4 linked regions of the Caenorhabditis elegans genome follow. The protein of the gene in region 1 interacts with the protein of each later gene in a pairwise test. Each region holds a gene or a part of one and is shown on either strand. Other genes may lie near its edges. The genes, in order: dylt-1, D1054.5, C26C6.8 and zip-1.

The links.
Region 2: the proteins of dylt-1 (region 1) and D1054.5 interact in a two-hybrid assay, tested with the Caenorhabditis elegans proteins (one large-scale study listed by BioGRID).
Region 3: the proteins of dylt-1 (region 1) and C26C6.8 interact in a two-hybrid assay, tested with the Caenorhabditis elegans proteins (one large-scale study listed by BioGRID).
Region 4: the proteins of dylt-1 (region 1) and zip-1 interact in a two-hybrid assay, tested with the Caenorhabditis elegans proteins (one large-scale study listed by BioGRID).

What each region holds. Positions count from the first base shown.
Region 1 is NC_003279.8:7,298,743-7,303,295, forward strand, and holds dylt-1 (DYnein Light chain (Tctex type)), read right to left. Parts: upstream 2,172-4,553; 5' UTR 2,153-2,171; coding exon 2,111-2,152; intron 2,009-2,110; coding exon 1,801-2,008; intron 1,681-1,800; coding exon 1,610-1,680; 3' UTR 1,323-1,609; downstream 1-1,322. Other genes in the region: BAH-4 (Glycosyltransferase family 92 protein F13G3.3), read right to left, coding at 45-150, 846-1,070, 1,132-1,220; Inositol monophosphatase ttx-7, read right to left, coding at 2,423-2,684, 3,165-3,285, 3,330-3,484, 3,593-3,697, 3,811-3,947, 4,150-4,227.
Region 2 is NC_003283.11:10,772,145-10,779,363, forward strand, and holds D1054.5 (CBS domain-containing protein), read right to left. Parts: upstream 4,435-7,219; coding exon 4,268-4,434; intron 3,619-4,267; coding exon 3,464-3,618; intron 3,351-3,463; coding exon 3,184-3,350; intron 1,452-3,183; coding exon 1,062-1,451; intron 1,018-1,061; coding exon 709-1,017; 3' UTR 632-708; downstream 1-631. Other genes in the region: D1054.3 (SGS domain-containing protein), read left to right, coding at 199-476, 526-631.
Region 3 is NC_003279.8:7,502,279-7,507,808, reverse strand, and holds C26C6.8 (SH3 domain-containing protein), read left to right. Parts: upstream 1-2,166; 5' UTR 2,167-2,228; coding exon 2,229-2,271; intron 2,272-2,344; coding exon 2,345-2,436; intron 2,437-2,490; coding exon 2,491-2,643; intron 2,644-3,011; coding exon 3,012-3,125; intron 3,126-3,173; coding exon 3,174-3,394; intron 3,395-4,043; coding exon 4,044-4,233; 3' UTR 4,234-4,286; downstream 4,287-5,530. Other genes in the region: C26C6.6 (LIM zinc-binding domain-containing protein), read right to left, coding at 1,163-1,341, 1,501-1,600, 1,661-1,726, 1,772-1,837; pbrm-1 (Bromo domain-containing protein), read right to left, coding at 4,576-4,695, 4,742-4,865, 4,918-5,204, 5,251-5,530.
Region 4 is NC_003281.10:12,334,418-12,340,410, reverse strand, and holds the start of zip-1 (BZIP domain-containing protein), read right to left. Parts: upstream 3,505-5,993; 5' UTR 3,488-3,504; coding exon 3,206-3,487; intron 3,160-3,205; coding exon 3,060-3,159; intron 2,746-3,059; exon of another isoform or gene 2,619-2,745; intron 1-2,618.

The sequences.
Region 1 (4,553 bases):
TATTATACAATTTTCAAAAAGTAACTGACAGCTCAAAAACTCACCGGCGCATGATTTCCACCTAAAGAAACCAATAAAAGCGACGGATTTAGAACTATTTTTGCAGTTGCAGTCATTGCAATCCATTTACACGCATCATGGATTGTTACTCTGAAGTTTGAGAGATTGAAGAAGTATGCTCCTTCAAAAGAAAATATTAGCAGAACTACATTTGCCTCAAATTTCGTATTTCCAACTCCCGATAATCTTCATGTTTGAATTTTCTCCAAAATGAGAACTGCAAAACCAATAAATTAATCGCTCCGCCCACGTTTGATCCAATCAGCGACTTTGAGATCCGTCTGATTTGTCTTGTAGTTCTCATTTTGGAGGAGAATCAAACAAGGAAGTTGGTGAGTTGTATAAAAATCTCGGATATCTGACGGCCTTATAATTTTTCTTAAATCGACAGATGCATCTGCAGATGGTAGATGACCGAGATTCGCATATTTTCTCGGCCACTCTTCCATTTTCTCGATTTACCATCTACTTTGTATTGTTTTATGTATTTTTCAGAAATAGCCAGAATTGTTTCCAGGTTTGAAAAACATCTATTAGGTACATGGAACTTTTATGCAAAAATTTCAAAAAAAACCAAGGTATTAGATTATTCTGCCTTTAGTTTTGAACGGTTTAATCATAGGAAATAGTTGATTACCGATCCTGCAAAATTTCAGAATAAGCTCCGCCCCTTTCTTGGTTTTTTTTTTGAATTTTTTCATTGAATTTTCAAATCTTATTTAATTGGTGCCGAAAAGCTCAAAAACTTCGAATCAACACAAAAATAAGAAATTAAATACACAAACCTTTCCAATTCAGCAGATGTCATAGCTCGACTCGTGTCATTTATGCCCAAAAGTTCAAGATTTTTAACTTTTTCCAAAACTTCAAAATCAGCAGTCATCAGAATAACCATTGAAGAATCTCCGAGACTTTTTGATTTATTATAATAAAATGCAGAATAAATGAATATATCATAAGGTGCCGAATGAAATACTTCTTCATTTTCAAGATCTGGTGAATCGATTCGACTGGAAATTTATCGTTTCAATCATTTTTGAACGGTGATAATTTTTAACTATCAATACTTACATAAATTGAAGTAAGACTGCCGTTACAAAAAATAAAAACGAAAAAAGTAATACCACAGACAGAACCGATGGAATTATTCGTGGAAGCATTTTGGCTGATCTGACGCACTTGTTTTGTGTCCTAACGCGTCCCGCAAGTTATCTGAACATCTAATCTCGAACTACCTTCAATGAGTGCGACGGTCAAAATGAGGAGTAACAGTTTTCATTAATTTAGCAATAAAATAATAAGGCAAAAAATTTGAAAATCAAAGACAAAACAAATGAATTGAGTGGGGGAAATGATGGAAGATTTTGAATGTGAAGGAGCTGCTCGTCCGGATTTTTTCAGCTCAGTTTTTCTGGACAGGTAATAGGTCTGAATATAAAACATGATAGTGTGTGATGAATGGGGAAGAAAAAAACAATCAGAAATAAGGGGAGAATTGGCGGTAAACGAGGAAAACCAGAGTAGACATATAAGATGAAGCTGTGGATTGTTAAATTGCAATTGCAAAAACATAGACGATTGCAAGCATTGTTTTGGCTTCCCAACGGTACATGTACGAGGCTGAAAATGAGATTTTTTGAGCTATAAGTTGAATACCAACTTTCAAAATCAGAACTTTGTGAGTAATAAATTTATTTCCCTCTTTATTATTTAATGTTTTAATACAAAATGTTAACTCACAATCCGTGACTTTATTCCAGTAGGAAATCGTGCTAACATTGAGACCGGAACCGCTCGAGATCTGAAGGAACGACGAGGTAACCACATATTTGTATGGTTTTCCCGCTGCCACTAGCTTCTTCGTTATTTGTTCGACGGCCTTCTGATTCCACTGAACACTGTCCTTGTGGGTATACTGGGTGCTTGCGCCTACAACCTCGTCGAGTACCTGAAAGATTATTGGATTACGAGAATGTGAATAAACAATAATCAACTCAAAAATTATAGTTTTTCAAAGAATTAATACAGTAGACATATAAAATATCGGTACCTGCTTGATGATCATGTGAACGTCCTCCTCTGCCAAAGCCATGATGTTGAGCTTGTGAGAGCTGAATATTGAGTTTAATTATTAAAAAAGAGACAGTATAAATAAATCAAGTGCGCTCAAACGGCAATTGAAGTATCAGAAATTAAGATATAAACATCTTTAAATAATTTATTCTCATAAAACGAGAATACATACGACTAGAAAATAAAATCAAAAAACTAATATTAAATTGGAAATACAGATAATGCATGTTATGGTAGGAATGTTATGTCACAATATGTGAGTTTTGAAAATAAATAGTTAAATATATATTTAGGCTTCCGGCTCGAAATCGACATGAGTGAGGCATGCAGATAAATCGCGTCCGAGTTCAGCTGTTCCAGCGCAGAGAACTTTTCTTGACATGACGTCAAATGGGGATCCAGTTGGATCAGTGACAACACCTCCGGCTTCTGTGACAATGATAGAAGGAGCAGCAACATCCCAAGCGTGAATCCCGTATTCAACATATCCATCGCAACTTCCTTGTGCAACCATCACCATGTTGATCGCGGCGGAGCCAAACGAACGGTGTCTGAAAAAAAAACTTGGATTTTTTTCAAATAACTTTTATTATGTATAACAATATTAAAAATAATAATATCACATCATCCTCGTGATTTTTTTCATATTAAACTTTGTCCATCCAACATCTAACTTTTCCATCTTATCCATTTCTCAATTTTAGTAAAACTTTCAAAAAATTTGCAAACGCACAGTTCAAGAAAGTCACTAGATTTCGACAAGAATATAAAAAATATTTATAAGTACCCGTGACATTGTTTGTCGAACATAACAGTCTTGTAAGAATCAACAAATGATTTCTGCATAACAGGAGATCGAATTGAGCCAAGTTGAAGTATGAGCACACTTTCCGCAATGACTGGAATTTGCAACGTTTCTATGTGAATGTAAATAAAATTGAAAGTAAAACGTGCAAAACCAGCGCGGGAAGTGTGGAGGTATATTTTTTGTAAAAAAGTAATCAATTTTAGACCAAAAAATTAAAACAAACCCTCGCACACCAGCCATCACTTGATTTCGCATGTTTGACTGGGCAATGTCGAGCCAGCGATCGCCGAACTGAACACGATTATGCAGACCGAGAGATTGACAGAGAACTCCCTTTGAAAGCACTTCAAAAAGCAGGGTGCATGACAAGAAAAGTGCAATTACTTACATTGATTCTTTGATGCTCGGATTGGAAATCCATTTTTGAAAGCTCCCTTTCCGAGTTGAGCGAGATAAAGTTCATTAGTGATTGGATTGTATACGATTCCAGCACGAATTTGTTTTTTGATTGCAAGTCCAACGCAGATTGCGATCATAGGGATTCTATAATAACATAAGAATTTGTTTTTCGAGAAAAATTTGAGTCCAAATTAGAAATTAAATAACGCGATTTGCCATTATTTGAAGAGTCCGATTTAAAAAAAATCTTACCTATGAACAAAGTTAGTAGTTCCATCAATCGGATCAATAATCCATGTTGGTGCATCAGTCCATTCAATTTTCGCACCTCCGGCTACAGATTCCTCGCCAATGAATCTGAATCAAAATAGTAAATTTATGTAAATACTCGATTGAAAAAGAAAGTCCAACTGGTTGTCATGGAGACAATGAGTGAAATCGAGCGGACCGTGGGAATTCCTTGCTCTTACCTATGTCCTTTGAATCTCTCGGAGAGCCCTTCGATGAGAAGCTTTTCAACAGCTTGGTCAGTTTCAGTCACCAAATCAGTATTCGATGATTTTGTGTCAACCTTGCTTTCCGGGGAGTCAAACGCGGTACGGACGAGCTGAAAATGTTTTTTTCGAATATTGATGTTTTTTCAAATAATAAAATTTGTTTCGTAACTGAGGAATAGAGAATGTTGTTTTTCGAGTTACGCATTTGATTTAAATGTGCATATTTGTAAAATTAACAAAAATAAGACAAAGATAATAACGACGTTGTTGTTTTAGGAAACAGTTTGATTTTTTAATCCGAATTCAACTCACCGTTCCAGCTTTTTTAACCAACTCAATGGCGTAGTCGACGAAAACTTGCTCTTCCTCGTGGATTGGTTGGAACACCATCTAAAACTTAAAATCAATGAATAAAGAGCTGAAGGGAACCACTTTGCCGAAAAACAATAAAATAAATTAAAGAAGCTAAACGGAGAAGCCGTCTATTAGGAAAACTAACTCGCGCCAGAGTCGTTTTTCCAACGACGCGAGCAGACGGAGCGAGAAAATTAGAGATCACTCGGAGACACGAGACGCAGAGACACCTAGTAATCTCTTCCCATGTTCTGTTAGGAAAAATGATAACGACGAGGGAGAAAAATGACCAGACACAAAAATTTGCAACATCAAAGTACATTGGAGTCACTGAGAACCAATGAGACAACGCAAAATGCAAA
Region 2 (7,219 bases), on another chromosome or scaffold:
CTGAGTGACAATAAGCCGAGTGTTAGCGGTTTTTATGTAATCGTGATGATCATTCCCTCAAAAGCGATAATTGTGAACTGACTGTCCGAAACCACAAAAAAAAATAAAAAATTGCGTTCCATAATAACTTGATTGGATTTAAAAACGTCCAGAGCAAAATTTTTGAATAAAACAACTTTTATTTAAAACTTATTCCAGGTAGAAGTTCGACTTCCGAAATTCGCTCGCAATGAACGATGGGCTTCTCTGCTGAAAGACGGACAAGGTGTTGCCGCTTCTGTACAGAGTGTATCACCAAATCCAGAAAGTGCACCAACTACTACTGTGAAAAAGAATTGGGATGCTATCGAGAAACAAGCTGTAAAAGAAGAGGAAGATGAATCGCTGGAAGGTGATGCCGCTGTAAACAAAATGTTCCGTAAGATGTACAACGACGCTTCGGATGATGTCCGACGTGCCATGATGAAGAGCTATTCGTAAATCGTTATTGCCTGAAAACCAAGAGATTATAGTGATTATTTTCAGTGAATCAAATGGAACCGTCTTGTCTACAAATTGGTCTGAAATTGGTCAAAAGAAAACGGAATGTCAGCCACCAGCATGTATGGAATATAAGGAATATGAAAAGTGATGATTAAATTCTTATTTTGTTATATGAACACCGCCAAAAATGAAACTTCATGTCAAATGTTTTGTTTTAAAGTTTAATTAAAATCTCATATCCTCGATATCCCCTTCAGATTCGTTGGTCCCCTGACGCTTGATAACTGCTTTGTCTCTGGAGGTGTATAATTTTTCATAACCATTATGTGGTTCCGGATCTGTTGGATCTGTGGATTGTGAGCTCGTATCTGATTCAAATGGAAGAAAAGCTTGTGATAGTGATGGACGTTTCTTATTTGTCATTTCCAATCTGATGGTATTCATTGTCTCGGTCTTGGCGACCTTTCCAGCTATTTGTTCGATCCATTTCTCCGTTTCGTTTTTCTGCTGGCTCCACTGTTGTTTTACTTGATCCTGAAACGTTATATTACTCAATTGAAGATAATAGCTCTGATCACCTGAATATAGGATTCAATGTCTTCTGCATGCCTCCTCATCTCTTCAAGAGACATATCTTTCAAATCCGGATCTTCAACAGAAACAGTTTGCACTTCAGTGTAATCTAGCTGAAAAGAGCATTCTGGATGGACAATCGTGTTGTGGCATCGCGTGAAGCTCAATGGTGCTGGTGGAGCACGATTTGGCGGTGGAGGTGGTGTACGATCATCGCCCAAACGAATCTCGACATTGCATTGTGCACTAGATGAACCCGGAAATTGATTCGATGACGGTGAGAACGATATCGTGTCATATTTATGACTTCCCTGTGGTCGGAGAGCAGATTCAGAACGATTACGACCATTTGCGGAGAGAATCGGAGGCGAAAAAAGTTGTTCCACACTTGTAGACTGTAAACAGGAAGGAATGTTATTTATTATTTTGTTGTGGACTTAAGTGTACTTTAAAAACATTACAATATTCGGTATGGAACGTAAATATTCTGTAAAATACAAAACTGTTCAAATTTACAATTCTTCTAATTTCGTACTAACAAATTTGATAATACATTTGAGAAGTGTCACGTCACACTGTAAAAAGGTTACTGTGGCTTGCGTCGATTTATGGTATTGCATCATCCTTTTCAACAAAAAACATGAAAGGTAGCATACAAATAATCTCATATGTAGTAATAGCTATACTTACTATTATCAGGTTGTCCCATAAGTTTTTGTACTTTTTTTCAAATATTTTTCCAAAACTTCTAGAAAGTTTTAAAATTTTTTCATCGTAGGTCGTGTCAAGGTCGGGTCGTCCCCTTTCAGAAAAGATTCATTTCATCCATTTCTACTTTGCCACGATGACAATCATCAAACTTGAACGTCGAGACGTTAGATTGCTTCTTCTTTATGAATTTCGTCTTGGTCATTCAGCAATGGAAGCGGAACGAAACATATGCGGTGCGATGGGTGAGGGAGCACTCTCTTATAATACAGCAAAGAGTTGGTTTCAAAAGTTCAAGAACGGCGACTTCAGTCTCGAAGAAATAGAACGTTCTGGGCGACCGGTAGAGTTAAATGAAGAAGACCTAGTGAAGCTGGTGGAGGAAGAGCCTCGTCTTAGTCTTCGTGAAATGGAAGAGAAGCTTGAGTGTTGTCATAGCACAATTGCACGTCACTTGGGTCGCCTTGGTTTTACTTCAAAACTTGGAACTTGGGTGCCTCATGAACTTTCGGCATCACAGAAGCTCACTCGGGTCAACGTTTGTACTCAACTTCTAACTTTTCGTCGAAAGTTCGATTGGCTGAACAATCTGGTTACTGGAGATGAGAAGTGGGTGCTCTATGTTAACCATTCCAGAAAACGTCAATGGCTTCCGATCGGTGAGAAAGGAATACCGACGCCAAAGCCCAAAAAAGATTATGATCTGTGTCTGGTGGGGTGTTCAAGGACCCGTGCACTGGGAATTGTTGCCAACTAATAAAACTATCACTGCTGATTACTATTGTGCCCAATTGGACCGAGTTGCAGAAAAGACCAACGGAAAATATGAAAAACTATATTTTCTTCACGATAATGCTAGGCCTCATGTCGCCAAGAAGACTTTCCAAAAGCTGCAAGATCTTGGTTGGACTGTTTTACCGCATCCACCATATTCTCCAGATCTTGCACCAACCGACTACCATTTGTTCTTGTCTCTCAGTGACTACATGCGCGACAAGCAATTCGACGACGAAGAGCATCTCAAAACTGAACTCTCCACTTTCTTCTCATCGCGTTCGCCGGATTTCTTCTCCCGTGGCATCATGATGTTACCTAGTAAATGGCAACAAGTGGTGGACACTAATGGTGAATACTTGTGTGAATAGTACTACTTGTCGCTTGAGAGAAATAAATTTTTTTCAAAAAAAAAATAGTACAAAAACTTATGGGACAACCTGATAGAAATACTACTTAAACCTTACCATTTAATCAATCAAAAACGTAAGATTTCTAAAATAAAAATAACCACATAAATCGACACTAGCTTCAGTAACTAGCTGTCCCCGTGGTGAGACCAATTCGCTTGAGATAGGGCGAAAAATCCCATTGCATACGTAATACAATATACATTGGAGATTTCAAAGTTAAACATGTACATACCCGATAGCTTGAGCCTTGTTCCCCATAACTGGTCATATTATTCTGTGAGGATTGCCACTGAAAACGTGGAATGTTCGATTGGTGTTTAGCTCCAAAGCCGGCTGGCAATGTTTTATATTGACTCGGTGAGACTCCAGTTGGTGATGACAATGGAAGGGGGGTACGTTCTGGAAATAAGTTGGTATCGTACCAGTCACTATGTTGTTTACAGTTTAATTTTTTTATTTTCGCTGAAACTAATGAGCTAATACTTTTAATACTATTAGTTTTACATAATTACCTCCAATTGATCGAATGCTATCTGGTGCCAGGTACGTCTGAGAATCAGTGGGCAAAACTGATGATGATGGAGGAGAAATGGAAGATAGAGATGGAGCGATATCAGTCGGAACAACTGCCAATTCAAGATCCCTTTTATCAAGGATTCCAATAATTCTGTAACACAAAATTATGAAATGAAACTTATATTTTTGAAATTTCAGGTTTGATTTGGGAATTTCTTTAAGTTGCTCCAGCTGACTAAAAAACAGAGAATACAAAAACCACAACGTTGGTCAAGTTCAAGGTAATTCAAATGAAAACTTCAGGAACACTATAATTTTGGAGGACTTTTTTTGAATTTCATAAGCTGTATTTATTAAATTGTTTTTAAATTTTCTATTTGGAATCTCAAGGAAAATTATTCAAAAAGAGTTTTCACCTATTCGATACAAATTTCTCAAAGGGTCCCACCCAATTGTTGACTTTTTTCTTTTTCATATTATGATTATCTGTAACAGTTCAAAACCAAATCCCTTCTGTTATTGAAAGCCTATTGTAATAACTTCTTTGGTATTTCACTTTTGTAGAACTTATCAAACGCTCCATGTATACCCAAATAAAATTTTATATCAATTTAAAATGACGTTGAGGCAATCGTATTTTATGTCTACGGCATTCACCAAATCAATAACAAAACACATTATATTAATAGTTTGATTACAGTAGCTACAGAAGAGATCAAAAGTTTGCAAAAAAGCGAACTACTAGTTACAATTTTCAAATAAACTTAAATCTGATTTTCTTACAAAAAATGTAAACTCACTTATCATCTTCCATAACAAGAATAAAGTCTGTGTCGGTTCGAACCAATTTATGTTTTGAAACAATCAAATTCGTAGGTCTCGATATCTCAACATTTTGCAGTGAATTAGTCCCAGAAGCTTTCTTTTTCACAAATTTCAGCATACTTCTGAACATAATGCTGATCATAATTGTTGCAGAAATCGAAAAGAGTGACTAATAAAAAACGTTTGTCAGTATCAATAGATTGAACGGTTTACTACTAAAATAACTTTTTAAAAGGGAAACGAAAACAAAAAAGCGGAACTGGTGATCAATTGTGAAGATATCAAACTGATAGTAATATTATCGAATAAGGAAGAATGATGCTCAAATAGTATTTGGTCAAATCAATCGATTCATGAATGTGCTGACACATCTGAATTTTCAGAGAACTATTAAATGATAACACTTTTTGAGTTGAGAGGACGCCAAGAAAAAGAGAAGGTTAGAGAATTGAGTTATCAGTGAAAACAGAAGGAATGTGCACCGACGGAATGCTGTACGTGAATAGTTAAATTAACAAAGTGATAACAACAACTTTGCTGTGTAAAACAATAAACAAAAGTAGACAATACGATAATTTGCCAACTTTCGGAAAACCCTTTGTCTTGGTTTAAGTATTAAAGAAAATATAGCTTTGAAAATGAATTATTAATGGTGGAGTAGTGACTGTGGGGATTCAGTCTAACTGAGTAAATATACTTATTATAGTTAAACAGGGCGTGTATAATAAAAAACATCCAAAAAATGTTAGGTTATTTAAAATGTTCAGTTAGTTTTTGGTAAATTGCCATGAAAAAAAAATTATAATATTTGGCCGACTTCCGAAATTATCATAGGTGAAGACTTAGTTTTCAACACCTTTTTGACTTAACTTCAAAAAAAAATTGTACAAGTTTTTATAAGTTTCATTCTGATATTTGGACATTCGAGAAGAAACTTTCTGAGTGACGATACTTAAAGACCTTTAAAAAATTTTTATATTGATTAAACTGTATTCTTTCGATACCTCTTCTAAAATTGACGACTACGGTGAAAGTATGTCCAGTTACATCATAGCTCTTTCTGAAATGCGTTTACTTTAATTCTAAAACGTTCAGAAAGTGTTAGGTGATAGATAAACATAATTAATTTTAATCCTGTGAAATGGAAAGGTCAAATGTATAATACAAACATTACCCATGTTTTCAGAAAAAGTGTTCGTTGATATTTAAATGTTTGAATTGATCATTATTCATTTCAAAAAATGAGCGCGAATTATTTGGGAGACTCCGTGAAGAGTGAAATTATCAAAACTGAGTGCGTTATCAGACATTAATATTTAGTTCCAATTATTGCGAAAACAAAAGTGTGAAAAGACAAAGTCACGAACAAAATTGTTTTCGCTGATTCTGCTATCTACTTAAAGACTCTTAAATCAATTTCAAAACTTGGATATTCAAAGATAAACGTTTCAAAATGCTAAGAAGTTGCAAAATTTTCAGTTAGATTTTTTACCTTTAAAACAACATGCATGAAAGTGTAAAATCAAGAATACAAAATAGTTATCTCTAAAATTCAAAAATTTCGAAACATTTATTTTCATGAGTCACTATGTGACTCATGAAAATTATATGGTTATATGGTTCATTTTTTTTAATTTGAAAACAATATGTCTTATGTTTCAAATGCTCATCACGTGCCTAGTCTAAATAACTAATTTGTCACAATACTTTTATTCGCTAGGCTTATCGTTTATTTTTAGAAAAACAACTTTATATAGAATTCCATAAGGTATCAAAAATATAATCAAACGAATGTATAATGACTCTTGAAACCTTACATGTTTCAACAATTTGTTTACTTATTTCTGCATGTTGTAAAACTGTTCAGAAAGTTCTGAACTTTCCAATTTAGGGAAACATTGTATGCATGGTTATTTTATACAACTGAGCCAATCCTTGAAAATAGTAATAATTCATTAAGTTCTTAAAACAAAAACTACTATTGTCTATTTACGAAACCTGTAAAATAAAGCAAACAAGTTATTATTGTGAGAATTTATTATGGAGCTTTTCCACATGCGTATCCAGTGAAATCAGTTCTGGTGCATCTGAAAAAGTATGGTTAATGAATGATTTATAGGATTATGATGCTTACATTTGATCAGCCAGTTTACCCGTCACTGAGACAACAACGGGGCAGTCTTCCCTGAAATTAAAAAAATCTAGTGAAGGCGTTTTGTGAATTCAGTTTTTCGGAAATTCGATTTTCTTCAATTCATCCCTGAATTAAACAACTCAGACGAGCTGATTGTTTCGAGGCAGCTCGTCCCTTGTTAGGGTCCGTTTTTTCTCTGAAGGAAGAAAACGGACAAAGGTGTCAAGCTGCGCTTTCCATCGTACCACCTTTAAGCTCTTTCCGTCAGAACTATTCTCTTGATTTTTCCACATGAAAAGATAATTTTGCTTGTTAACACATTAACTGTAGACGAAATCCACCGTTTCATTTAGATTTGAAGAGACTACACAAGTTCAGTGTCAACATGCATAATTTTTGATAGAAATCATATATTTCGTCTTTTGCCTTCTGTTTTGCATGTTACATTTTTACATTTGAGCCCAGTATCTGAGCCAGGCACGCTGAAACCCAGTCGATCCAAACTACTACGTACATCAATGATGCGTTGTTCGGTTCTCCGGTGAGCCTCCAAACATATCCATCGGTGCCAGTTGTTGAACCGTCAGTCCACTCGAAAGAATTTAGAGGGGTACATGTAGCCGTCAATTGTTGCCCAGTACACGCAGCCGTCCTTTTAGAGCCAATCCAAATTGAACTCATCATTGAACCAGGCAGAGATATAAAAGAAGCTGAAAATGGTCGAGATTTATACTATGTTTGCAACTAAAGTTTGTGGTATTTAGTTTTGCTGTGTAACAAGAAAAAAACATGA
Region 3 (5,530 bases), 200 kb from region 1:
GGAAAATATTTGAACTGCAGGACTACCAAAGACCTCTGGGTTTCTATAGTTAACTTCAGTACAAAAATCGTATTTTAAAGTGTAGCTTTATGCTCAAAATATATTAAAGGTGGAGTGTCGCCAGTGTGGAATGTTCGGAATCACTCCTATTTGAAGCAAAGCATGGCAAAAAATTTTAGAATTCTTTTTTATTTACAGTCGATTATAATTGCGGAAGTAGCCCGAAAAAAAAACAAAATTTCCTACGTTTTTGGGTTTAATAATATTTAGTTAATTGTGTTTAAAAATTTCAATGTTGTGTAGTTTAACATTTCCTCACTCAACAGTGTTCAATATTTAAAAAAAATTTTGCAAGGAAAATTGGAAATATGCCAAAACTTCATCTGAAACAAAAGTTAAATGTTTAGTTTCTCTGTAAAAACGTAAAAATGACAAATATTGAAATAGTGAATTGAGACTTGAGAAGACTTTTAGATTTCAAAAAGATTTCAAGACTATTACACAAAAAAAAATCAGACAGAAACAAAAAACAAAAAAAAATTATTAAAAGATTGACACTGACATGTTTAAAAAGTCACAAAACATTTTCGAGTACGTAGTTACTCGAAAAAGAAAACTAAGATCTATATGACGTCATTTTGATCTGACACAGGTGACACATCTCATCCATCCCGTAGCTCTTCTCCCACAGAAACATTTTGTGGTGTGAAGTTACTAGATGCACACTTTACTACTTGAATGGAGGAGGTTAAATGATGAAAGAACAGAAGGATGCTCATTATGATTGTGATGTTTCAAATATTATAATTATTGTTTCACTTTTGCAAGTTCTATAAATTGATTGAAAAATTGACAAAACTCTGGATTCAGAAATTGCATTTTTCAAAATGTGTAAAATTTCAAAAATCGTGTTATAAATTTTAAAAAAGTCCAATGTTTCTGATAAAAAAATGTTTTAATTAGATGAAACACTGAAATTGTTCAGTTTTTGTCAGTGAACAAGAGAAATCACAGAAAAATTGTTCCGAAAGGGACTACTTTACTCCCTATTTGTCTTGAAATCTCTCAAAAATCAGTATCTTAGAAATTATAGTTAACCCACAAAAATACACTTTAAACCGTTCAAAATCTATTCATTATTTTTTCAAATAAGTTCAATATGTTATAGAACATCTTTGATATGAAGCATATAACAAACGTCATCATAAAACATCATATCACGTTCATAAAATCCTTTTCTTTGAGGAATTGTCTTGTTACAGATTGCACAACGGAAACAATCAATATGAAAGAGACGATTAAATGCAACAAGTCCTCGTTCAATTACTGGCAATGAGCATCCTGTAAAATTTGTTTTTTAAGTAATCGTAAGGGGCTCTAATCTTTCCTATATGTAGCTGAGTAATCAAAGTTCGTATAACCCGTGCAAAACCGAATTCACAAGCCATATCATTCAATTTTTAATTTCTACTAATCAGTACTTCGAAGAACTAAAAATACCTGTGCAAGATGGATGATTTGTTTGAATATGACATGCATAACATGATGGTTTCATTGGATCAATTGATGAACGGAAATAACGATTGTCCGAGATTTGAAGCTAAAATTGGATATTTTGAAATTTTGGAAGTGCTTTTTTCCGAACGCTTCCAAAACTAACTTTACAAAAAATGCATTGAATATGATCCCGATGCCACATTCGATTCAGAAAGAAGACAACTTTGTTCTAAAAATTACTTTTTTAAAGGAAATACACCAATTGTGGATTTACCTTTTCGACATCCTCCTCGGCGATTTTGGCTTTACATCCTGCACAATTGATAAACTCAATAGTCATTTTTCTAGTTTATTTGGAAATAAATTATTTTTTATTAAAATTGTATTCTTCGCCTCCGAATTTGTATTTAGTAAGCGGTTGCCACGTAACTGGTATTAAAATTTATTGGTTTTTAATTGAAAACTTCCAAACAAGATACAAAAGTTTATGCATCTCTGCATGGTAATCTCCAAAATACATAAAATATCACAGATTCCTTATTTCTAGGGCAAAATAAGCCATTATACTGAAGCCAAATAATACTGTCCGCCTTTCATGCCTTTCCCTCCCGAGACTCCATCTTTTTTTCCAATCAGATCCAATTTTCGGTGAACAAACAATAATTTGACATGCCTCTGTTGATTAACCGTGTTTTGTGAGCAATTCATTGGCTTTTCGTCGCACAAAAACAATGGGCATTAGGAGCATTTTTTGGAAAGTTGTATCTGGAAGAGGTGAGCACAGTTTGTCCCATTTTTTTTCTAATTTTAGCTGATTAAAAATAAAACCTCCAAAAATGAATTTCAGTGCCCGATAATGGTGGATGGGTTGACAGTATGCAAGTGGATCATTTTGATCCTTATACTCCAGGACAACTAACAAAAAACTTCACAGCAACTGTATAGTTTTCAGTTTTTCCAAATTACCCCAATTTCTAACCTCTCACTTTTAAGGTTGCTGACGAAATTAGTGTAACCCGTGGCACTACAGTTAAAGCAATTTATCGAGATGATCAATGGATTTATGTTGAGGTATCTGATGGAAGAAAAGGATTTGTTCCACAGACATATTGTAAATTGCTTTTGAATTCAAAACACGGTGAAAAGGTGAGCGTTTTAGATGTTCTAGAAAAGTTATTTTTAGTGCAAATCTTAAAGAATGCAACAACACGTGTAATTGTGGCATTTAATGATATTCATTTAAAACTACTGTATCCGGTCTCGACACGACCGAAATATGCGCAAAAGAATGTGCGCCTTGCGAATTACTGTAACCACACTCCTAATTATTTCCAATATTTCATAGATATTTCATAGTTTTGTCATTGAAAAATCGAAGAAAAGTGGTGAAAATCATTGTCACCTTTAGTGAGAACAACTTAGAAGCCACGTGATGTCAGAGAGTCCCATTTCGGTTTGATCTCCAAGAATTTCGGGAATGGAACCGTTGAGAAATCAAATCAAATACTTTTCAGAAAAAGGTGATCGGATCCAGCGCGACACTTGATCGCCGTTGGGAAAAATCAAATTTGCAGAGATTTATCGACAGTCTTCCTGTTCAAAAAGAAGAAGGAGAGGTTTTTAAAATGGTTTGTTTTGAATAAAGCTATTGAATATTCTTTTGATACTATCTGCAGGATGAGATATGCGAAGTTCAAATACTACAGTCATTTGATGGATCAGCTCCAGATGATATATCTGTGAAAGATGGAGAATCTGTCACAGTTTTGAATATATCAGATCCTGAGTGGACCTATATTCGAAATTCGGACAATCAATCTGGTTTTGTACCTTCTTCCCATGTTAAGATTCCACATGAAATATTGCAACAAGCTAGCCGTGTCATTAAAGAAAAATGGTATCGTAAGTTCGCAGTTTTCTGAAACGCTTAAAGGTGTACGGACTTATTCAGATGGGTCATGGGTGTTATTCTGTTTTTTTTTTCAGAATTAAAAGACTCAGAAGACGCGAAAATTTGTTATTTTTGCGCCAAAAATACAGTACCCGGTCTCGACACGATAACAATTTTGTTAAGTGTGAAAACGTGTGCGCCTTTAAAGACTACTGTAATGTAAATACAACTTTTCGTGCTCATAGTTTTTCTCACGATTAGTAAAATAAAATATATGTGTTTTGTGGTTTTTTAAAATAAATAAATACATTTTTTAACGGAGAATTATGAAAAATCTATGCAAATTCCTCAACAACGAAAGTTTGAAGCTACAGTACCCTTTAAAGGCGCACATCCGTTTACATTTGATAAAAAATATTGTCGTGTCGAGATTGAGTACCATATTTTTGGCGCAAAAATTGCAAAGTTTCGCGTATGGGTAATAAAAAATCAAAAGAATCGACTTTAAAATTGTTCACGAAATTCCCGAAAAAAGCAAAAGGGCCGTTGCAAGATAAAAAACTACTGCCATAAATGTTTTTCTCGTGCTTGCGTTTCAAAAGATTGCGAAATAAACTGATTATATTTTGGCTTGGCAAATTTATTTAATTTTTAGGGAAAATGAAAATCTTCTCGTAGTCGAACCTTTTTCTGGAAGATCACCTCTTGATCTAACAGTCCGACCAGGTGAATGGATAAAATGCACTGGAAGACCAGTAGATGATTGGTTGTGGGCCGTCCGAATCGCTGACGAGAAGCAGGGATTTATCCCGAATAAAGTTGTAATTTTGGCGACAGATCTTTGATGTTTGATTTATCGTTTGAATTTGTTTCATACCCGACCCATTAATAAAAATATTTTAAAAAAAGGTGAATTGGAAATGATAATAAATTTAGTGACTGAAGTGGGTAGTAAGAAATACAATCAAGAAACGAATAAATTATTGAAAATAAATAGGATTTAAGGTATTCGTGGGAATCATGAGAGGATAAAAACAGAAGGAGCACACATAACTGGTTATCAGAAAATACATTAAAAGAAAAAGAGATTCTTGTTTTCTGGATTGAACGGGGAGGCGAGATAGGGTAGGATAATTATGATAAAGTTATAAAAATTGCATAAAATTTTAACAAGAGATCCACTGATTTCATTGAGTTGGTCGGTCCATTACAAGACTACACGTACTCTTCAACAATTCATCGCGAAGTTTCCACAAAGCTTTTGTAACATCCTCTTCGCGAGCTACAGGTCGTCCGTTTTCAATTCTCTGAAATTATGAAATATATTTTACAAGAAGAAATAGTCGAACTAACCCTTATCCAATGAGATGGAGCGCGGGCATTTCCAGCTGGTTGGGTATTCCTGGCAGTTGCTCCTAGAGTTCGTTCCCATCGGCTTACCGACTTCTGTCGATTCTGGGCAAGTGATTCGATATACCTGTAAATGAAAAATCAATACTTGAAAAACAATTAAATTTCAAAAAACTCACTTGAGATATGCTTCCGAATGTAGAACTCTTCTCGAATGAATTTGATTCGGTGGTGCAACAAATGCAGGTACAACTGCTCGAACTACAGTTCGTCCAACATCTGTAACCACGATAGGTTGCATTTGTGGTTGTTGCTGTTGTGGAGGTGGACCAGGTTGTTGATGTTGTTGTTGAATCATTTGTTGAGGTGGTGCCTGATGATATTGTTGAGATGAAGAAGATCCTTGTTGGAACATTCCGTTTTGTGGTGGTCCCATTTGCATCTGTGGATGAGGTTGGCCACCTTGCTGAAAAAATTACATTTATTAAAAATGTTTTCATTGCGTTACAAACCTGATAATGCTGCTGATGTGGATGATGATCGTGATGTTGCTGCATATGCTGTGGATGCTGATGATGCATTTGTTGGCTAACAGGATGCCTGTTTATAACTTGTGGAGCGCCTTGTTGCATATTTCCGTTCATTCCATTTCCATGATGCTGCTGTTGTTGATGTTGTTGTTGAGGGGGAATTCCACCATTTGATGGTGCAGTTGGTAATTGTCCGTAAGGCGCAGATACTATACGGCATCCAGGAGTGTCTCCTTGATTTGGTATCGACTTAAAAAAATTC
Region 4 (5,993 bases), on another chromosome or scaffold:
GGAATAATGTGAAATTAGTTGGTTTAATTAGGAATGAAACCTGATTTATTACAATTAAAATTGCAAAAAAATATGAGGAAGAAAATATATTTTTTTCAATTTTCAACGGTAAAAACTGTAAATTCCAAAAATCGATCAGCAATTATTTCCTATTATTTAAATTCCTTTAAAATAATTGCCAATTCAACTATCATAAATTCGTAAATAAAACATTTTTTAATTCGCCACTCTACTTTAAAGGCGCACGGTGCTTTCTAAGTGGGTCTCGCCACGATCTCAGCACGGGCGGGCAAATTTTAAAGATTCGCTCATATGATGTATGATGTCATATGTAGAAAATTGTAATATTTATAATTCTAAGGTGCACAGGGTGGGGGAGAACGATTTTTTCCGGCAAATCGGCAATTTCGCCGGAATTGAAAATTTCGGGCAAATTGAGAAACCGGCAAATTGCAGGAATTGAAAATTTCGGGCAAATTGGGAAATCGATGGAATTGAAAATTTCCGAAAAATCGACAAATTACCGGAATTGAAAATTTCCGGCAAATCGGAAAATCGATGGAATTGAAAATTTCCGGCAAATCGGTAAATTGATGGAATTGAAAATTTCCGAAAAATCGGAAAATCGATGGAATTGAAAATTTCCGGCAAATCGGTAAATTGATGGAATTGAAAATTTCCGAAAAATCGACAAACTACCGGAATTGAAAATTTCCGGCAAATCGGAAAATCACAGGAATTGAAAATTTCGGGCAAATTGGGAAATCGAAAAATTGCCGGAATTGAAAATTTCCGGCAAATCGGAAAATCACAGGAATTGAAAATTTCGGGCAAATTGGGAAATCGAAAAATTGCCGGAATTGAAAATTTCCGGCAAATCGGCAAATTGATGGAATTGAAAATTTCCGGCAAATCGGCAAAATCGCAGTAATTGAAAATTTCCGGCAAATCGGCAAAATCACCGGAATTGAAAATTTCCGGCAAATTGGGAAATCGAAAAATTGCCGGAATTGAAAATTTCCGGCAAATCGGCAAATTGATGGAATTGAAAATTTCCGGCAAATCGGCAAAATCGCAGTAATTTAAAATATCCGGCAAATGGGCAAATCACCGGAATTGAGAATTTCCGGCAAAATGGAAAATTGCCGGAATTGAAAATGTCCGACAAATCGGAAAATTGCCGGAATTGGAAATTTCAGGCAAATCGGCAAAATCGCAGTAATTTAAAATATCCGGCAAATGGGCAAATCACCGGAATTGAGAATTTCCGGCAAAATGGAAAATTGCCGGAATTGAAAATGTCCGACAAATCGGAAAATTGCCGGAATTGGAAATTTCAGGCAAATCGGCAAAATTGCCGGAGTTGAAAATTTCCTGCAAATTGGGAAATCGGAAAATTGACGGAATTGAAAAATTTCGGAAATTTGGAAAATTGCCGAAATTGAAAATTTTCGGCAAATCGGAAAATCACCGGAATTGTGAATTTCGGGCTAATCGGCAATTTGCCGAGATTAAAAATTTCCGGAAAATCGGCAATTTGCAAGAATTTAAAATTTCCGGCAAATTGGTAAACCGGCAAATTGCCTAAATTTAAAATTTCTGGCAAATCGGAAAATTGCCGAAATTAAAAATTTCCGGGAAATCGGCAATTGCCGGAATTGAAAATTTCCGGCAAATTGGCAAATTGCCGATATTGAAAATTTTCGGCAAATCGGCAAATCACCGGAATTCACGATTTTCGGCAAATTGGCAAACCGGCAATTTGCCTATTGCCGCCCACGCCTGGCACGCATATACATATAAATCCTGGCTTTATATATGTGCACTTTCGAACTTTTAATATCCAAAAATGTTGCACATGCACAGAGATCGTGACGAGACCCACTCAGAAAAAACATCATGTGCCTTTAAAATGGAATAAATTTTTACGAATTTACTAGGAAAAAAATTACTGAAAACTGATTTTTCGGTGATGCTCTAAAGTATTAATGCTCTAAAGTTTTTCAATTTCAATTATTCCTAATGATAAATTATATAGCTGACCAGCTAATTGATCACATATGCTGCTTATCGTAATAAATGTCATTGATCAGGGAAAAAAATTTAAGTGTTAGCAATTCCGAAGGAAGTATGAATCATGTTTATGTTGCTGTTGCTAACATTTATTTCCGACAAGAGAAATATATGATTTTTCGAGATAATCATCCCTTATACTCCTCCTATCACCATTTTCGGGTGATTTTTATATCATACTTTTTAATACTATATTAATACTATAATATATTACTATATATATATATATATATATATATATATATATATATACTATAATATATGATATATGTATATATTAATACTATAGTATATAATACTATCATTTACTATATATAAAGCGCTTATTCCGTTTGTCCATAGTTTGTAGTCTATGTAGTCTTTGTAGTCTGCAGTTGGGGTACTGTAGTGGTACAATGGTGGCACGGTAGGAGTACTGTATGATTACGGTAGTTTCAGAAAAATTGGTTTTCAGCTCCAGAAGTCAGCTCCAGAAGCCACGGCTGGTATATATATATATATATATATATATATATATATATATATATATATATATATATATATATATATATATATATATATATATATATACAGTGCGAACAACTTCTATCGCGCTTCCAATTATTTTCGAGTTTCAGTACTTTCCAATTTTTTTTTCTCGAAAAACGGTGAATGCCATTTGATTTTAAATGTCAAAAAACCCCTTGTCGTAAATTTTTATCGAAAAATATCAAACACTGCGAGGACTATAGGTCAAAAAGTCTTAAAAACGACCGTGCAACTTCTATAGCGCATATTTTTTGACAAGGGGTTTTTTACGACAATTTACGACAAGGGGGTTTTTCGACATTTAAAATCGAATGGCATTTACCGTTTTTCGAAAAAAATTTTGGAAAGTACTGAAAATCGAAAAAAATAGGGGGCGCTATAGAAGTTGCACGCACTGTATATATATATATATTAATACTATACATCCGTTATATTTATACACCCGTTATTCAACTAACCATAATAACTCTTTATATCCCATTCAACTGCCTCATTCTCCGCGTTTATATAGTTGAGAGTTGGCTCAATTTGGGTCTCGACGCGAAGTTCGAACAATACCTAGAAACCGGTAAGCATTCATGGGCCTAACTCTTATTTAATATACCTTATCCGGATTCTTATCCACCGCCGTCATTTCAACATCCCCTTGATTATTCGGAAGAATCTCCATCGGAGCCAAATCCTCCTCGGCTGGTATGAATGAAAAAGGCTCCGTTCGTTGAAACTCAAGAGAAGCGTTCATCAGGTCATCCGGTATGACGACTCCCTGCGAATAATCGGTTATTGGATGAGGCGGCGCATTTTCAAGGCTAGTTACCAAAAAGTCCGCATCCATCATATCATCATCTTCCGAGAAATCGACGAAATTGTTATTTTGATTGTTCATTTTTGATAGTTTCTTTTCTGAAAAGTGTGCATTGAATTTTCAACTGGGAAATTTGCAGGAAAAAAACAACGGAACGAGTCATCGGATCGGACTTCAGAGAATGCTACAAAGGCTAAGCTATTACCGATCCAGAAAGAGTGTAGTCAGTTGAAGAGACACAGGCATCTGGGGACCCGGGAAAGAGTCAATTTGTGTCGATTTACGGAAGAGTAACACTTCAAAAAAATAAAGCTAAACCTAACTAAAACCTCCAATTTTGCGTTCCTATCTCGTGTTAACTGTTAGGCAAATTTTAGGCCTGTAGGCATTTAAAATTAGATGCCTAATGTACCTAGAGGCAACATTGAAGATTTCAGCTAAATTTGGCTAAAATTTGAACCGTCATAAATACATAAATACAGTGTGCACGTGGTGTCAGAGTGCCCCATATCGGTTTGATCTACGAGAATCGCGGAAATTTAGACGCAGAGTTCTGAACTGATTTTTGCGACCCCGGAAAAATGGGCAAAATTCGATATTTTAGCTAAAATCAGTGCAATTTTTTCAAAATTTTGAACCGCCATAAAAAATTTTTGAAAATTTTTTGAGAAGTTTCATTACGAAATTCGTTCATTTGAGTCCATTTTGGGTCTATACGTTCAAAATTGTTCGAACCGTTAGTCCTCCTTTAAGAGTAACGCTCCGTAAATCGACACAAATCGGCTCTTCCCCCGCGCACCGCCCTTTGGGTCCCGAGATGTCTGTGTCTCTTCAATTGACTACACACGCTCTCTCTCTCTGTCTGGATCGGTAATATAGTTCGTAACAAGAAAATCCCAGGCAATTTTTTGAACCAATCAAAAATGAAAAACTGTTCAAACAGGCCAAATTTAGCAGAAACCTTCAATTTCGCTACTAATTTTAGATGCCTACCTGCCTAAAACTTGTCTAAGTTAACACGTAGCTTAAGCCTCCAAATTGTGCACAAAAAAGTGGGAATTTGGAGATTTTACATCTATTTTTGCAAAATTTTAATAACTATATATAACTGTGCAATTCATTTGCTTAATTCCTGATTTTCCTTCCATTGCATGGCTATTTTGAAATACTCACGTTAAGTACTATTTATTAATTGAAATCAACTTTTTTCCAACAAATTAGACTTCCAAAAATAGTAAAAACTACAGAAATCGAAGGCAGAAATGAAGCGAATGGGGTCTTCCTCACTTTAAAATTTTAGGCGATGGGGTGGGAGAGGGCGCCAGAGTGAAGCAGAGAAGAGAGTGCTGATAACGAAGAGAGCGAGAGAGAAAGAAACACGAAATTTTCTGTTTACGCTGTCCGCATTTCCTCAGACAAGAAATAGTGTGGGAAATGGAGAGAGTGCTGTCTGTAGTCCTATGATGTGATCGGAAGGAAAGATCGACACAAAAAGTGATCGTAGTTTGGCCTTGTAGATCAGTTTGAAGAAAGTAAATTTGTTGAGACAAGTAGTGTATCTTCGAAGCTAACAAGATCTAATTTTAGCGAAAAGGGTCTCGACGCGACAATATTTGTTTTGAAACCAGTGTGCGCCTTTAAATGACCGAATCAGGGGTGGACGGTTCGCCAAATTTTTTTTCGGCAAATTCGGCAAATTGTCCGTTTTTGCCGGAAATTCAAATTCCAGCAATTTGTCGATTTGCCGGAAATTTCAAATCCGGCAATTTGTCGTCGATTTGCCGGAATTTCAATTCCGACAATTTGTCGATTTGCCGGAAACTTTAATTCCGGCAATTTGTCGATTTGCCGGAAGTTTCTATTCCGGCAATATGGCGACTTGCCGGAAATTCAAAATCCGACAATTTGCCGGTTTTTGCCGAAAGAAATTTCAAATCCGACAATTTGCCGATTTGTCGGAAATTTCAATTCCGGCTATTTGTCGATTTGCCGGAAATTTCAATTCCGGCAATTTGTCGATTTGCCGGAAATTTTCAATACCGACAATTTGTCGTCGATTTGCCGGAAATTCAAAATCCGACAATTTGCCGGAAATTTCAATTCCGGCAATTTGTCGATTTGCCGGAAATTTCAAATCCGACAATATGTCGATTTGCCGGAAACTTTAATTCCGGCAATTTGTCGATTTGCCGGAAGTTTCTATTCCGGCAATATGTCGACTTGCCGGAAATTTCAATACAGGCAATGTCGTTTTGCTGGAAATTTCAAATTCGAAAATTTGTCGATTTGCCGAAATTTTCCATTCCTGCAATTTGCCTATTTGCCGGAAATTTTTAATTACGGCAATTTGCAGTCGATTTGCCGGAAATTTCAAATCAGACAATTTACTGATCTGCCGGAAATTTCGATTCCGGCAATTTGTCGATTTGCCGGGAATTTGCCGGAAAAAATCGTTTGCCGCCCACCCCCATGAACAATCATCATCTTCAAACTCCGCCCATCCCACCTGATTGGTTGAAAAGTGGGCGGAGCAAATCGCTGATTGGTCGCAGTTTTAATTTTGGAGGGAATTTAGCTAAATTTAAAA